Saccharomyces cerevisiae S288C: one gene and its partners. The protein of the gene in region 3 purifies or fractionates together with the protein of the main gene of each other region. This does not show direct contact. Each region holds a gene or a part of one and is shown on either strand. Other genes may lie near its edges.

The links.
Region 1: the proteins of ARA1 (region 3) and ARO3 purify together in Saccharomyces cerevisiae (affinity purification with mass spectrometry, with the first as the bait; one large-scale study listed by BioGRID). This does not show direct contact.
Region 2: the proteins of ARA1 (region 3) and EGO4 purify together in Saccharomyces cerevisiae (affinity purification with mass spectrometry, with the first as the bait; one large-scale study listed by BioGRID). This does not show direct contact.

The regions. Positions count from the first base shown.
Region 1 is NC_001136.10:518,390-523,428, reverse strand, and holds ARO3 (3-deoxy-7-phosphoheptulonate synthase ARO3), read right to left. Parts: upstream 1,614-5,039; coding exon 501-1,613; downstream 1-500. Other genes in the region: mitochondrial 37S ribosomal protein mS47 EHD3, read left to right, coding at 1-218; cysteine-rich palmitoylated domain-containing protein CPP3, read right to left, coding at 1,960-2,115; YDR034C-A (uncharacterized protein), read left to right, coding at 2,737-2,913; YDR034C-C (gag protein), read left to right, coding at 4,073-5,039. UniProt on the Saccharomyces cerevisiae protein: Stereospecific condensation of phosphoenolpyruvate (PEP) and D-erythrose-4-phosphate (E4P) giving rise to 3-deoxy-D-arabino-heptulosonate-7-phosphate (DAHP).
Region 2 is NC_001146.8:689,252-693,357, reverse strand, and holds EGO4 (Ego4p), read right to left. Parts: upstream 798-4,106; coding exon 501-797; downstream 1-500. Other genes in the region: ARC35 (Arc35p), read left to right, coding at 1-339; SOL1 (Sol1p), read right to left, coding at 2,072-3,037; ABZ1 (4-amino-4-deoxychorismate synthase), read right to left, coding at 3,360-4,106.
Region 3 is NC_001134.8:536,472-543,001, reverse strand, and holds ARA1 (D-arabinose 1-dehydrogenase (NAD(P)(+)) ARA1), read right to left. Parts: upstream 3,016-6,530; coding exon 1,981-3,015; downstream 1-1,980. Other genes in the region: TBS1 (Tbs1p), read left to right, coding at 1-1,793; YSW1 (Ysw1p), read right to left, coding at 3,297-5,126; RTC2 (cationic amino acid transporter), read right to left, coding at 5,537-6,427. UniProt on the Saccharomyces cerevisiae protein: Catalyzes the oxidation of D-arabinose, L-xylose, L-fucose and L-galactose in the presence of NADP(+).

The DNA of each region.
Region 1 (5,039 bases), on a different chromosome or scaffold from region 3:
ATTCTAAATACCAATTGCCTACAGAACAGGAAATCGCTGCGTATATTGAAAAGAGAACGAATGATGACACTGGCGCCAAAGTTACCGAAAGAGAAGTACTAAATCACTTTGCCAATGTGATTCCTTCTAGAAGAGGGAAACTGGGTATCCAATCGCTATGTAAAATTGTTTGTGAAAGAAAATGTGAAGAAGTTAACGATGGCTTAAGATGGAAATAAAACCTGAAATAGCAGCCCCGTGGCTCGTAAAGAATTTTGCCAACACTTCTATGCATGTAAATAATAAAAGTAAAACATAACGCTATATTTGTATATGGATGTTTATTTAATGATACATAGAAAACTGTCATTTTCTTTCTCTTTTCTTATAAGTATTTTTTTTTATAAAAGGCAAAAAAAAAAAAGTTTGAATGTAATAAATATGGTTCAGAAAGAAATTACAATAAATCAAAAGTTTTGAGTATCATTCAAGATTATTTGCATTTTTCCCTCATTTACAGGCTATTTTTTCAAGGCCTTTCTTCTGTTTCTAACACCTTCTGCCAATAGCTCCAATACCTGTTCGGTGGACTCCCAGCCAATACAAGCATCCGTAACAGAACAACCATACTTCAATCCCTCTCTGCCACCTTCTTTGGGAATATCTTGTCTACCTTCATTTATGTTGGACTCAATCATAACACCACAGAGACTATTCTCACCCTCCGTCAGCTGGTCATAAATACATTTGGCAACCTTTGGTTGGTTCTTGAAATCTTTATTACTGTTGCCGTGGGAACAATCGATCATAATTCTTTTCTGGGAATCATCAGTCAAACCGGCCTTTTCTAACTGTTTCTTAGTATTTTGAACACTTTCTTTGTCAAAGTTAGTACCGTTCTTACCACCTCTCAAGATCAGGAAGGTATCCTTGTTACCTTCAGTGCCCACGATAGCAGTGACACCTGGCTTTGTGACAGAAAGGAAGTAATGTTCATGTGCAGCGGCTCTCATAGCGTCGATGGCGACTTGCAAACCACCATCAGTACCGTTCTTAAATCCAATAGGGAAAGATAGACCGGATGCTAATTCTCTGTGCAGTTGGGATTCAGTAGTTCTGGCGCCGATGGCACCCAAGGAGAAACAATCACTCAAAAACTGCGGAGAAATGGTATCCAACATCTCACCAGCAATGGGTAATTTTTCAACCAGTTTTATGAACATTTCTCTCGAAATCCGTAGACCTTTATTGATTTGAAAAGAGTTATTCATATCAGGGTCGTTAATCAACCCTTTCCAGCCAACAGTAGTCCTTGGTTTTTCTAAATACGCTCTCATAATAATCAATAAGTCTTTTGACAACTTTTCTGAAATTTTAGCCAATCTGTCAGCGTAATCGTAAGCGGCTTTGGGGTCATGTAGGGAACATGGCCCGATCACGATAACTAAACGATCATCTTTACCATTCAAAATATCACAGACGGAGTCTCTTGCCTTGATAATGTTTTCCTCACCTTTGGCTGAAATTGGAAATTCATGTTGAAGCAGATCTGGAGGGGTTAATGGATCATAACCTTTGATTCTCCAGTCTTCCAAGCGTTTCCTGTCACCGGCGTGATCGTTTTTAATGAACATAATGCTATAAAGTGTTCTTGTAACGTAATAGGGGTAGTAGCTATAAATATAAATGAGAAATAGTGAAAATAAATATGTCGTTCGTATACAAGTAACAGGAAGAAAAAAAAGAAGAGAGAGAAAATGCAAACACTTATAAACACATGCATGTATTTAATGCAGCAAGCATACTTTCCGATGTGACTAATACTTGAGCAATGAAAAAATATAAAAAAGGAAAGTGAGGAAGCTTTTAAATATATGTCACTATGTACGCATAAATTTGAGAAGATACGCAGCTGCTTCTTTTTTTTCAGCGGCTAAATATGATGTTCTTTCCATACTAATTTTTAGCTGTCGATTAGAATTAAAAAACGTCACAACATAGGTTAATTAAACATAGACAACATAGGAAGTGACAACAGGTTCTACAGCAACCACCGGATTCTCTCCGAGGAGGAGGCTGTTGGACATAGACTGGTTGTTGTTGTGGGGCATAATGCATATTTTGATGATGCCTCATTTTGGTATTGCTAACTTAGACTTTTTTAGTTGACAATTAGGATTATTTTAATTCACAACATAACTGAGAAACATTTAAATACAGTTGAAAACTGGGAGGGGCGAGAGGGGAAGGAGAAAATGAAAAATCGAGCTTGTATAATTTTTAAATAGAAATTGCCCTTATTTCTTCGCCTTTTTCCTTTTTTCAGGGTATCGAAAAAAAATGCGAGGGGCTGTGCAATTCAAAGCCAAGAAAGAAAAATAAAACAAGAGGGTTAAAAAATAGAAAAGGTCCTACCCGGATTCGAACCGGGGTTGTCCGGATCAAAACCGAAAGTGATAACCACTACACTATAGGACCCTAAAATGGACGATTGGAACCTTCTTTCGTACCTTCTTGAACAAAGCATTTTGAGTAGAAAATTCATCAATCCTAAATTTGATATTGACTTAGGTTATGGTTTACTCTTCTTTACAGAAATACAAAAGGCATGCTGATTGTTGGAATAAAAATCCATTATCATCTATGATAATTGTGCGGATTCTGATGTAATTGTTGGGATTCCATTTTTAATAAGGCAATAATATTAGGTATGTAGATATACTAGAAGTTCTCCTCCAGGATATAGGAATCCCCATAATGGAATCTATATTTCTACATGCTAATATTACGATCATTCCTCATTCAGTTTTATATGTTTCATTATCCTATTACATTATCAATCCTTGCGTTTCAGTTTCCACTAATTTAGATGACTATTTCTCATCATTTGTGTCATCTTCTAACACCGTATATGATAATATACTAGTAACATAAATACTAGTTAGTAGATGATAGTTGGTTTTTATTCCAACAGTGTATCAACTAGTGGTCATACTATCAATATATTATCATATACGGTATTAGATGATGACAGAAGTTATGGAAAGCTTCGAAGTTAGAGGAAGCTGAAATGCAAGGATTGATAATGTAATAGGATAATGAAACATATAAAACGAAATGAGGAATAATCGTAACATTAGCATGTAGAAATATAGATTCCATTTTGAGGATTCCTAAATCCTCGATGAGAACTTCTAGTAAACCCTGTATACCTAATATTATAGCCTTTATTAACAATGGAATTCCAACAATTATCACAAAATTCACAGAATTTCCAGTTTAATATCAAGAATAGGTGGATAATACGGTAATCGTATGGCCGCCATTGTTATGAAAGACAGTTATTCCTAAGTATATTGAATATACCAGGGTCACTATCGAGAATGTAGAATTTCCCATAAGGAAAGCCATGAGTTCGTATAATATTATGATTGTCTCCTCTCTTCTTTTCTATATCATCATATGATTATTTCTATTGTGTTATTAGTTTTTACATTTCAGTCCTCAGTACTTTTGTGAGAGGAGCTAAAAAAAAAAAAAAAAAAAAAAACATTACTTGGAAAAGGGAGGCATAGGAAAAAAAAAATGTCTAATATCGAAGATTGAGGAAAAAAATAAGTTATTGAAGGATGCGAGGTTCGAACTCGCGCGGACAACCGTCCAACAGATCTTAAGTCTGCCGCCTTAGACCACTCGGCCAACCCTCCGTAAAATCACTTGCCTGTTTTCAGATTCTGTTCTTATTCGTTTAGGTAAGAAAGAATATTCAAGGGAGGATGACTTTCGAAGATTGTATTTTTCTTGTTGGAATAAAAATCAACTATCATCTACTAACTAGTATTTACGTTACTAGTATATTATCATATACGGTGTTAGAAGATGACGCAAATGATGAGAAATAGTCATCTAAATTAGTGGAAGCTGAAACGCAAGGATTGATAATGTAATAGGATCAATGAATATTAACATATAAAATGATGATAATAATATTTATAGAATTGTGTAGAATTGCAGATTCCCTTTTATGGATTCCTAAATCCTGGAGGAGAACTTCTAGTATATCTACATACCTAATATTATTGCCTTATTAAAAATGGAATCCCAACAATTATCTCAAAATTCACCCAATCTTCATGGTAGCGCCTATGCTTCGGTTACTTCTAAGGAAGTCCCATCAAATCAAGATCCGTTAGCCGTTTCAGCTTCCAATTTACCGGAATTTGATAGAGATTCCACTAAGGTTAATTCTCAACAAGAGACAACACCTGGGACATCAGCTGTTCCAGAGAACCATCATCATGTCTCTCCTCAACCTGCTTCAGTACCACCTCCACAGAATGGACAGTACCAACAGCACGGCATGATGACCCCAAACAAAGCTATGGCCTCTAACTGGGCACATTACCAACAACCATCTATGATGACGTGTTCACATTATCAAACGTCACCTGCGTATTATCAACCGGACCCACACTATCCGTTGCCACAGTATATCCCACCACTGAGTACTTCCTCACCTGATCCAATCGATTTAAAAAATCAACACTCTGAAATACCTCAAGCTAAGACAAAGGTGGGAAATAACGTCTTACCACCACACACTTTAACATCAGAAGAAAACTTTTCTACATGGGTTAAATTTTACATCAGATTTTTGAAGAACTCTAATCTCGGTGACATCATTCCAAATGACCAGGGTGAAATCAAAAGACAAATGACTTATGAAGAACATGCGTATATATACAATACCTTCCAAGCATTTGCCCCATTTCATTTATTGCCAACATGGGTAAAACAAATTTTAGAAATTAATTATGCTGACATCCTTACAGTCCTTTGTAAAAGTGTGTCCAAAATGCAAACTAACAATCAAGAATTAAAGGATTGGATAGCTCTTGCCAACCTTGAGTACGACGGAAGTACATCTGCTGATACATTTGAAATTACAGTCAGTACGATCATTCAGAGGCTAAAAGAAAACAATATCAATGTTAGCGACAGATTGGCCTGTCAACTAATACTTAAAGGTCTATCCGGTGACTTCAAATACCTACGTAATC
Region 2 (4,106 bases), on a different chromosome or scaffold from region 3:
CATGAACCACCATTGGAGTTGAAGAGACTATATCAACCACCTAAAGTTGCAGAGCAAAGTAGAAGATTTATCACGTTTGTTCTTTTCCCACGTCATTTCCAGACAAAAGAGTTGCAATTCCATTCAATTTGCCAGTTAACATTGTTTAGAAACTACTTCCATTATCACATAAAGTGCTCTAAAGCCTACATGCACTCCAGAATGAGATTCAGAGTGGACTCGTTCATCAAAGTCTTAAATAGAGCCAAGGTGGACGAAGATGATGAAAATGATGAATTGAGTGCAGAAGGCAGACAACAGGCAAGAAGAACCTTCACCGGTAGAAAGATTGTCTACTAGAAAGATTAAATAAGTACGTAAGAATCCGTAAAAAGGGTTATAACTAAAAAAAAAAAAAGAAACATTTCAAAAATAATTAAGTCATTATATGATTATACATAAAAAAAGGTGAGATACAATAAAACTACTGTCACCGCTATTAACACTAATTCTGTTCTGAGCTAATTGGTTATTCCTACAGGAGGAACAACGCCCTCTCTGTTCTTGTTCTTTGGAGTGAAGTACACAATAAAATGGCCAGCTTTCTTGAAGGCATGACCTATATATTGAGCATCTTCGTAGACGGAGTAGCCCAGCCTACCTAACTCGGCATTTGATTTCCTGATTATTTCTGCGATTGGTGACTTTTCGATGACTTTTGCGACACCTGATGTATCCAGTAAATTGTAATTTTCATCGAATGTTAGCGAACCCACTGCTCTTGGCAATACTTCGGTGATTGGAATACTTGACTTCATGATATTATGATTATTTGTTGTTTTGCTTTTTTTTTTTTTTGGTTTGATATAGTATAAGGAAAACCTTTGTTTGGTTATATTACGCAAGATGAGATACAAGATCTATAAAATATTTTTCTCTATAATAGAACAATGTGTCTCTTATTTATACCCCTATGATAGCTTTACATTCCCTTCGAGCCGACCTCCTTCTCTGGTTCGTCCATGTAAAGAAGATGTCCAAAATGAAGGAGTCGACATAGTGTTGGCGGGATTATAAAAAATACCTTACTGTATGTAAGCAATTTTTGCTTGACATAGATTCAGGATACACAGCTAACTAGTAGGGGGTGTCCAAACTGTATCAACAAGGGGTTAACAGCCTGGCTATTAGTCTTTTCATCTTAATCTCGAGGCTTCCGGGGAAAGGGGCAGCCAAGCAAAGCGGAAAGAATCTGGGGAATAAACAGCAAACAATGCCGAAATGAATGAATCAGCGACATAAAGTCACTCAAGGGGAAAATGACAGTCTTGTCAACAAGAACAAAAACTTTTGTGTTGAGGGACGATGTGGTGTGATACGCAAAATATAAAAAATGGGAGAAGTAGATTACTATTTTGGGAAAGTGTAACAACCGCATGGCTCAGTGTATTTTGTCATTATTGCCGTATGTTATCTAGCAAGATGAGAAGCTGTTCCTGGAATCCTACTAAAACTTGCTTTTTTGCAACCGCTCTACCCTTTTACATTTTCTACACGTAGAGTTAAGGTTTTTATATCCGTTGTATACCTACCACTGCTATGTATGTTGAATCATGTTTGTGTGGATAGTCTACACACAAAGCTTGATAATGCCATACGAATAAGGTGGTCTTGCAAACTGATTCTTCGTAAACTCTGTAATTAACATTTTGTTTCAATCTCTCACTTCGCTTAAGACCAAATAATCTCCTTGAAAGAAAAGAAAACTTAAAAGCATGCTTTTCTCTTAGCGGAAGCCATAGGTCCAAAAGGGAAATATCCACTGTGGTTGTTATTATTTTTTTCTAAAGGGTTATTGTATATATTATATATGTTGTATGTTATATATGCACACTACGTCACTAAGATGACTTGTTTTATATAAAGTTACTTCTCGAGAAAATTCAAAAACATAGGGTGATTTATTGCGATTACTAAAGGGAAGGGTGGGGATAGAAAGAGCTAAAAAAAGAAAATGGTTAAGGTTAAATCATAGTATTGTCATTAGTTGTCATTATCATCAGAAAGAAAAAGAACCCAAAAAATTAAACACCTACTCAGTCAAATTCTCATCATCATAAAACTTGTACTTCTTCTTAATTACAAAGACATCTTTCAAAGCATCGTCGTCTACAAACCATGAAACACGACCGGCGGCGCCCTCATTGACAATACTACTAGGCAATCCCTTTTCAGGCCTTTCCATTATTGTCTTGATTACAGGCGCCTTTGTGGCGCCCTCTACAACAAAGGTGACTCTATGAGAGTGACAAATCACTGGGATGGTCAGTGAAATCCTATTCGAAGGTCCGCTGGGTGCATTTTCTACAGGTATGACCCATGCCAGATTTTCACGTAGATTCTCTTGAAAATTGGGGAATAACGAGGCTATGTGACCGTCAGGAGCGCAGCCAAGCAGAAACAGATCAAACATCGGTAGTTTCACAGAATCTCTACCGGCAAATCCTTTAATTAGAATTTTCTCATAGTTATCTGCACACTCTTGAGGGTCGTTAATCAATGACTCATCAATGTGATAAATTTTCGGAGTTCCGTACTTCTCCGTATCTATTAAATCGAATATTTTTCTCTTAGCAAGACCGTAATTGCTTTCACTGGAGCTAAAGGGCACTAGTCTTTCATCAGCAAAGTAAATGTCCCATTTACCCCATTGAACGTCGTCTCTTTTCAACAATCCTTCGTGCAACACTTGGATTAACGAACCACCGGACAACGCAATCTTGAAGCGCCTTTCTTTCTCCTTTTTCAATTTCTTAGTGGCGCCGTCTTCACTACCACCACGGCTGGAGGCATTACTCCTTACAGAATTTACTCTCTCCATCGTTTTGGATTCTGTGTTACCATTTCCGTTAAGGCTCGTTCCGGACATCTGTGTGGACCTTGAGACTTTGCCCTTCTTAAGGGCAGAGTTTTGTGCGTGAATAACATGATCGGCAACTGCCTCAGCTACTCCTGCAAATTCATGGAATGCAAACACTTTAGGTACGGTTGTTGTCATCTTGCAAAAAATTATTCCAGTTAAAATCTATTTTCTCGGGCCTCTTTTATGTACTAAAATGTTATAATATCTATTATCTTATGGTTTGAAAGAATTCTGCTCCGTCAAGCATACATTATAACCTATTGATAAGTAAATTGGAAGGAAAGTCTTCCCTAAATGACCATGCTTTAACTTTTTTCCAATATCCTTTTCCAGGGTTTTCCACGGCACAAAACGTCATTTTCCTAAAGCGAAAAAAAAAAAAAATTCTGCATCGTACAAGAATAGTATATTATTCTAAAGAAAATGTTTGCATACATATCTAATAATATACAAATATCTACATGAAAATTTGTAAGTTGCTCTCCAACTTGTTGTACATTTCCTCTAGTTCGCCATCTAGTGTGCTTAAGACTGTTATGGCCCCCCCTGCACCGAGTTGCCAGCTGGTTCCGCCGTTGTAGGAATACATACATCTAATGTTAACAGACCAATCTCCGTTGGAATTCACAGACCAATATCCCGTGACACCGCTGTAAACACCACGTGCTCCACCATTGACATGTTTGTTTAGCTTGCTTTCTATCTTGTCCTGCAATAATTGCACAGTAATCTTCTTGGGGGCTCCCGTCATAGATCCCGGAGGAAGCGAGTGTTTAAGGACATCAATGCCTGAATATCTCGTCTTCTTACTGGCAGAGGTCAATCCATGTGCCTTTACGACGCTAACGAGTTGGTAAACGGTGGCATATTCTTGCACGGACATGAACTCCTCCACCCGAACGTCAGGAACCAACTCGTAAAGGTCATTTCTGATTAAGTCCAAAATCATTAAGTTCTCACCAAATTCTTTTGGTGTCTTCAGGATTCGTGTGGCTTTTGCCAAGTTCATTTGCGGTCCTTTTTTCACAGTTCCCTTGATGGGACGTAGCTCGCATGTGTCTGCATCCCACTTCAAAAACCTTTCTGGAGAAGTACTTAAGAAGCACAAAACTGGAGGCGTTTCATCTTGGCGGGGAATAATGTCTTTAAACTCAAAAAAACTTGAAAATGGAGCCGGGTTTCTTTGTACCAAGGTCTGGAAAAT
Region 3 (6,530 bases):
CTTTGGATTTACGGCTCAATTTACATTCCACCTATGAGGATCTAGAACTTGATGAAATCATTAAAAGAAGACGCTTGTGGTGTTATTGTTTTTCAACAGACAAATTCTTTTCTGTGGTGTTGTCAAGACCGCCCTTTCTCAAGGAGGAAAACACTGATGTATTAACAGATGAAAGCTATGTTGAACTATTCAGAGATAAAATTCTGCCCAATCTTTCTATAAAATACGATGATTCAAAACTAGAAGGGGTGAAAGATATTGTATCCGTTGTAAACTTACTCGCGAATCACCTTGAATATGTACCATACATTCAATCATATTTTTTGTCGAGATTATCCCTCATAGAGTCTCAAATATATTACTCATGTTTTTCCATCAGAACAACTTTAGACGATACACTAGATGAAATCATTGAAAATGTACTGGAAAATCAAAAGGCGTTAGATAGAATGCGAGACGATTTGCCCACCATATTATCATTAGAAAATTACAAGGAAAACATGAGGATTTTATCTTTGGATTCTTCGAAGTTAGATTTTGAAGTGAGTTGTTGTACTACTATTCTATTACACCTCAGATGGTACCATCAAAAGATAACCCTGAGTTTATTTGTCATATCCATCATTGGAGATAACTTAGATCAACGGGAAAGTTCCCGGCATGATATAGCTGAAATTATTAGAAGGTCAAGATTGGATTTCAAGCGAAATTGCATCGAAGTACTTAATATTTTGAAAGATTTTGAATACTACCCTACTGTTCAGAATGAGTTTCTGTATTTTTCTCTCACAACGGTTTTTTCCATGTTTCTGTATTTGTCAGAGATTATGGTTAATGACGAACATGCCATGGAGACTGGTTATATAATTGGATTATTGAGGGATACACATACCCGTATGCTTGGATCTGAAGAACGCTGTCTTTCAGTACACAATCTGAAGTGGCAAACATCTCTTTTTTTTTACACTTTTTTTCTACGGAGTACGATGGAAAAGTTCAATCTGACAAGTAAATACGCAAAATTCTATGCCTTTGATTCAAATTATTATGAGGGTGTTCTCAATAGGTTAGTTAAGCATACGAGAGAATCAAAAGATGATATGGTCGAGCTCTTGAAAACTTCGTTCATAAATAAAGAGAAGATGGCTGCATTTGGTAGTTTCGTTACAGAGGACCAAGAAAAAATGGAAGTGTCCTTCAATATTTTCAATGAAATAACAATCCAGGATTTGAACTTCTTGCAATTTTCAAGCATTCCGAAATTGTGGGAAAATAAAACTCTTGAGCCAGGCGAGGAATATCATCATAGTAATGGTACCAATACTGATAATAACGAGACTACTGGCGCTGATGATACTGACGATAATAATAATAATAATAATAATAATAATAAAAATGGCAATAATAGTAGTAGTACTATTAATAATAATAACAATAACTACAGTAACAGTAACAATAATGACAATGACAACAATATTAATGATGATGATGATGATGATGATGATGATGATGATGATGATGATGATGATGATGATGATGATGACAATGATGATGATTATAGTAATAATGGTGCTGATGATGATGAAGAAGACGATGACTATGACAGATCTTTATTTCCAACAGGTTTAGCTTCGCTGCTTGATGCGTCATATCCTGAACGTACGGCGAATGATTATAGAGATGAGAATGAACAATCGAATAAATTATTCGAAAAGATTGAAGGCCATTTGGAGCACGGTGTTTTTTTTTACGATCGGGATTTCTTCTTCAAGAATGTGTGTGTAAAAATGTAATATTATATAAAGGACATTCGAGTAATTTAACTAATACATATGCATACGCGCGCGTATGTATTTCAGATACTTAAAAACTTCAAATCACGTATGAAAAACATATTGTTTACTTGAGGCGATTACACAATATCTTGTTTTTGACAAGATTAAGAAGCGAACTAAATAAAGTGAAAATAAAGTCGTTGTCTTAATACTTTAAATTGTCCAAGTTTGGTCCGTTACCAGTAAACTCTGGAAGGATGGCTGCAAATGGCTCATCGATGAATCTCACTGGGTATTTTTCACCGAAGTCGTTCAACTCTTGTAATTCATCCTTTGTCAAAGATGCGAATTCAATACTCGAGGAAATCCTAACTGGATTCAAGGATCTCGGAATTACGATAGTGCCTTGTCTAATATGGTAAGAAATTAGCAAGTCATTTCCTGTGACATTGTACTTTTCGGCAAGCTTTTTCACTAGTGGGATTTTCAAGTTTGGTGCGCCATGGGAACCTAATGGTGAGTATGCTGTTAACAGAATGTCGTGCATAAAGCAGAACTTTCTTAGTTCCATTTGTGGTAAGTGAGGGTGAGTTTCCACTTGGTTCACCGTTGGCTTAACTCTGCATTCCTTAATGAGACGTTCCAAATACTCAATGGAAAAATTTGAGACACCAATGGCTCTCACACGATGATCGTTAGGATCAAGGTAAATTTTTTCCAATTGCTTGTAAGTTTCTAAATAGTCACCGTCGGCAGCATACATTGTTTTTCCAGAATCATCAACCGGAGTCTTCACCAGTCCGCTGATCCCCTTAGGGTCCTTAATCTTTTCAAAACATAGCGGCCAATGTTGCAAGAGCAAGTCGACGTATTCCAAGCCTAAAGCTTTCAAAGATTCATTCAATGATCTGTCCACTTCGTCCCATAGAACCGGCCACACTTTTGTGGTTATGAAAAGATCCTCCCTTTTGATAGATCCATCTTCTAATAACTCCTTGATGGCTTCACCTACGAATGGCTCTGTCTCGTAGGCCCAAGCAGTATCAATGTGCCTGTATCCAGCTTTGATTGCAGCTTTTACGGCTTGTTTTGTTTCAGCTAACTTTTCGTGAGGATTTGCTGTCCCCAAACCCAGTGCTGGGATACGAACACCATTGTTGAGTGAAAAGTATATTTCTGTAGTCTTTGGATGCAACATATTTTCGACTATGTTTTCGGTTGAGGCTACTGAAGAAGACATGATAGCAGTTGATTAAAATCAAGACGCTTTTATCAATTGAAGGCGGAGATAGTGCAAATAAGTCCAGATGCTTGATATCCCCCTCTTTCCTTTTTACCCCTGTATTACGAGGCTCACTTTATATATTATAATTTTTCCAGGCGGAGGTAAGGGTAGAGCGGCTTTTGGTGGATTTATAATCGGCAATAAACGAGTTTTTAAGCGATCTATAATATTTTTATTGAGTGATAGTTAGATACTTAATGATTATATACTAGTAGCATTTTCAGTAAACGAAATTGTTAAGATGTTAAGGTGGAGGCGCCATTCTTGCTGTCTTTTATCAACTTTGTACTCTCTTTTTTCTTCAAATGTTGCATCAGTGTTTTGATATAGTTATCCTTATCTTGTAGCATCATTCTTAACCCACCTATTGTTTCCTTCTGGAAATTGGCAGATCTCTCGTAGAACCTGAAGTTCATTGTCAGTTGGTCGATTAAGGAGAAGTTGATGTTTGCGAACAGAGGGCCCAATTGCCTCTTGAAGCTGTTTTCTTGTAAACGAAATGAGGAGTCTTCGAAACAATTTTTCATGTTTAGCGCACTACAGCAGGTTTCAATCTTTATAATATTATCGTCGTTTTCCTTCAAATCATTGCCATAAACATTGTGGAATTGCAAAACCTCGCTGAGGCTTTTCAGTAATGTCAAAAACTGGTCGATAGTATATCTATTCAAGTCTAATCTAACGCTGTCAGCCCTTACCTGTTTTTTTTTTTTTTCAAGAGATTTTTCTAAGCCAAATATTCTCTTTTCCAAGTGTTTTAATCTATTTTCATTGTTTCTCGTTTCTCTTGGAAGATATTTCGAGGGTTTGAATGTGGATTGCTGTAATTTTTTTGAAGTTTCGTTGACGTTCAGTTCTAAAATGCCAGGACCCATATTGGATTTGGTAATCTCCTCATTTTCGTTTTCATCCGTAGATATGTACTCATTTGTTTTATTATTCGTACTTTTTTTTTTCAATTTGTTCATTTCCAATATAAGATCATTGTTTTTTTTACTAATGGATTCAAGGTTGTCTTTCAATGAGTTAATTTCCTGCTTATGTTGGAGATTTTCTTGCTTTAATGTTGACAAGTTCAAATTCTCCAATTTTAACTTTTCCAACTCATCTTGCTTCTCTTGTGCGTGCATTCTACCCTTTGAAATGTGGTTAGTAATACTTTCTATAACGTGGTCGCTCAATTGGTCGAGCTCTTCCTCCCAAGATACGTTTTGTTTCCCCCCTGAAGTCAAATCAATATCAATGTTCATAGTAGCCAATTTTTTGTTCAGATAGTCAATCACATGTCTCCCACCTTTGTGAAAATCATTTTCTACTGTTATATTAGGCTGAGATGTAAATGTGTTTGGTGTCTGAAACACAAATTTGTAAGGACCTTCAAGAACATTCTCCGGTGGAGTAGCAGGAGAAAATTCATCGTCACTGTCGTCGCTATACTCTTCAAAACTTTTTTCATATTCCTTTTTCAGACCTTTATTCTTAGCGCCTTTAGTCAAGCATTGATCCTTGGAAGGTATTTTCTCGGGACTTTTTGATTGCATAACATGTGAGTTAGCATCAGTGAAATGAGACTCATTCTCATCATCAGAAGAAAGTTCAACGGGCAATAGTAAGTTATTTTCATTCCTGAATTCTTTCACGTCATTTGCACTCTTGAAAATACTGTTTCTGATTTTTTTTGTGAAACTTCCTTTTTGGATGTCATGGGAATTTTCCTTTTTTGCACACTTATTGCTAGTTTTCTTCCAAACTAACGCATCATCTTCATCTTCCAACACAGACTCGTCCTTATTTGAGTTTGTTTGTTTGAAAAAAGATCTAACTTTTCTTCCTAGTTTTCTTTCTTCAACAGATTTTTGTGAGTTTTTGTCATTTAAGTAGACATCATTGACGTCATCTTCAACTCTATCTTCGCAACTATTTTTTAGGTCTGCTGTCGGTTTTAAAAACCAGTTTCTTAATGTACTATTTTTCTGTAAAATACCAGTATCGGAGGTTAATGCATTGTTGGAAAATCTGCCGCGTTTGGCCTCGCTACCCTCTACTGTATCGGCTAAGCTGGACATGATGTTATGTTCGTACGTATCCTTATATATGTTAATACACCGGTGCAATAACTTCTCTTAAAATCCTTCAACCTAGTTTTAGCTTTTTTTTGTTTTTGTTGGTGTGATTAAGTTAAAAAAATTATTAGATGACTACAGTGAATAGTTGAATTTGTCCCCTTCCTGTCACTTTTTTTCCTCTATGGATAGAGACCCCACCCAGGAAATGGCATTACTCGTTTTTGTGTTATTTTTTGTGTATTTTTTCAGACGCGTGTCAGCAAAGGGCATCGCCAAAATAACGACTGAGCCGTGATGGCGCTAGTAATTTTGTTTCCTCCATAAAATGAAAATACTAGTTCTGGGCTATAGCCGATGCGCATATGAGTAAGTTTGAGTTTTAAGTGGAAAGATTAATAGAAGCCAACTAGTTAATTATCTATTAGTATTTTCTCGTATTTAGGTTTGGCGTAAAGGAAAAATTGAATAAAAACTGTGAAGTCCATCAACAGCGTACCAGCGCTACCGATAAGCCAAGATGCTGAGAGCACTGAGATTATGAAAGAAGTGTTCCCTAAGCATGCAAATAAAAAGAATAGGAATGAGACTCCTTCGCATGATTTTCTTTTGAAGTTAAGAACAATCTGAGGGATCCTAGAGCCCAAGTACAGTATCGCACTTAAATACCCTAAAATTTGTGCAGGTAAATTAATCTGTTCGAACGCAGGTTTTTTTTTAGGAATACCGTTATCTAGGCCGGAACAGTAAGATATATACCATGACAAAATTCCGGCAATAAGTACACCTGAAACAATTAAGAAGTCATTGAAAAAATTCTCTCTTTCCTTTACGACTATTGTTCTGCCAAGCTCAAGCGAGCTATACGATTGGCTATCTTCTTCTTCTATCCTTGGCAAAAGTGGCTCATATTCATTAAAAACGTCTTGTAAGACAGTCTCATTTATGGGGTTTGCTGGAGGCAAATGCACAGGATCAACATTTTTCTTGACTTCTTGTAAAATGCTCTTCTTCTCCTTGTCATACCACATGCACTGTATTAACAAAATTAAATCTGCCAATGTATAGTAAGCAGCTAAAATTATCATGGTTGGGAGTAAATTTTGCATCATAGCTCCCATGACGTTAAATATATCACCTAATAGCCACAACACAATGAAAAGCAGTGATAATCCCTCCGCAGACTGTCTTCGGAAGTTTTCATAAATCTGTGGTACAAACACAACAATCCAACAGCATATTGATATGGATCCAGCCATCCCACTGAGATTCTTAGCATTCAAAATAATTGGGATCAGCTTCATGGCAGAAATTTAGGGATGCTCGCTTGAGGCTATTACGTCTGGGTTATAACAAAATATTGTGGGATATTACAGGAGAATAGTTTATTTATATGCCTGAACCCGG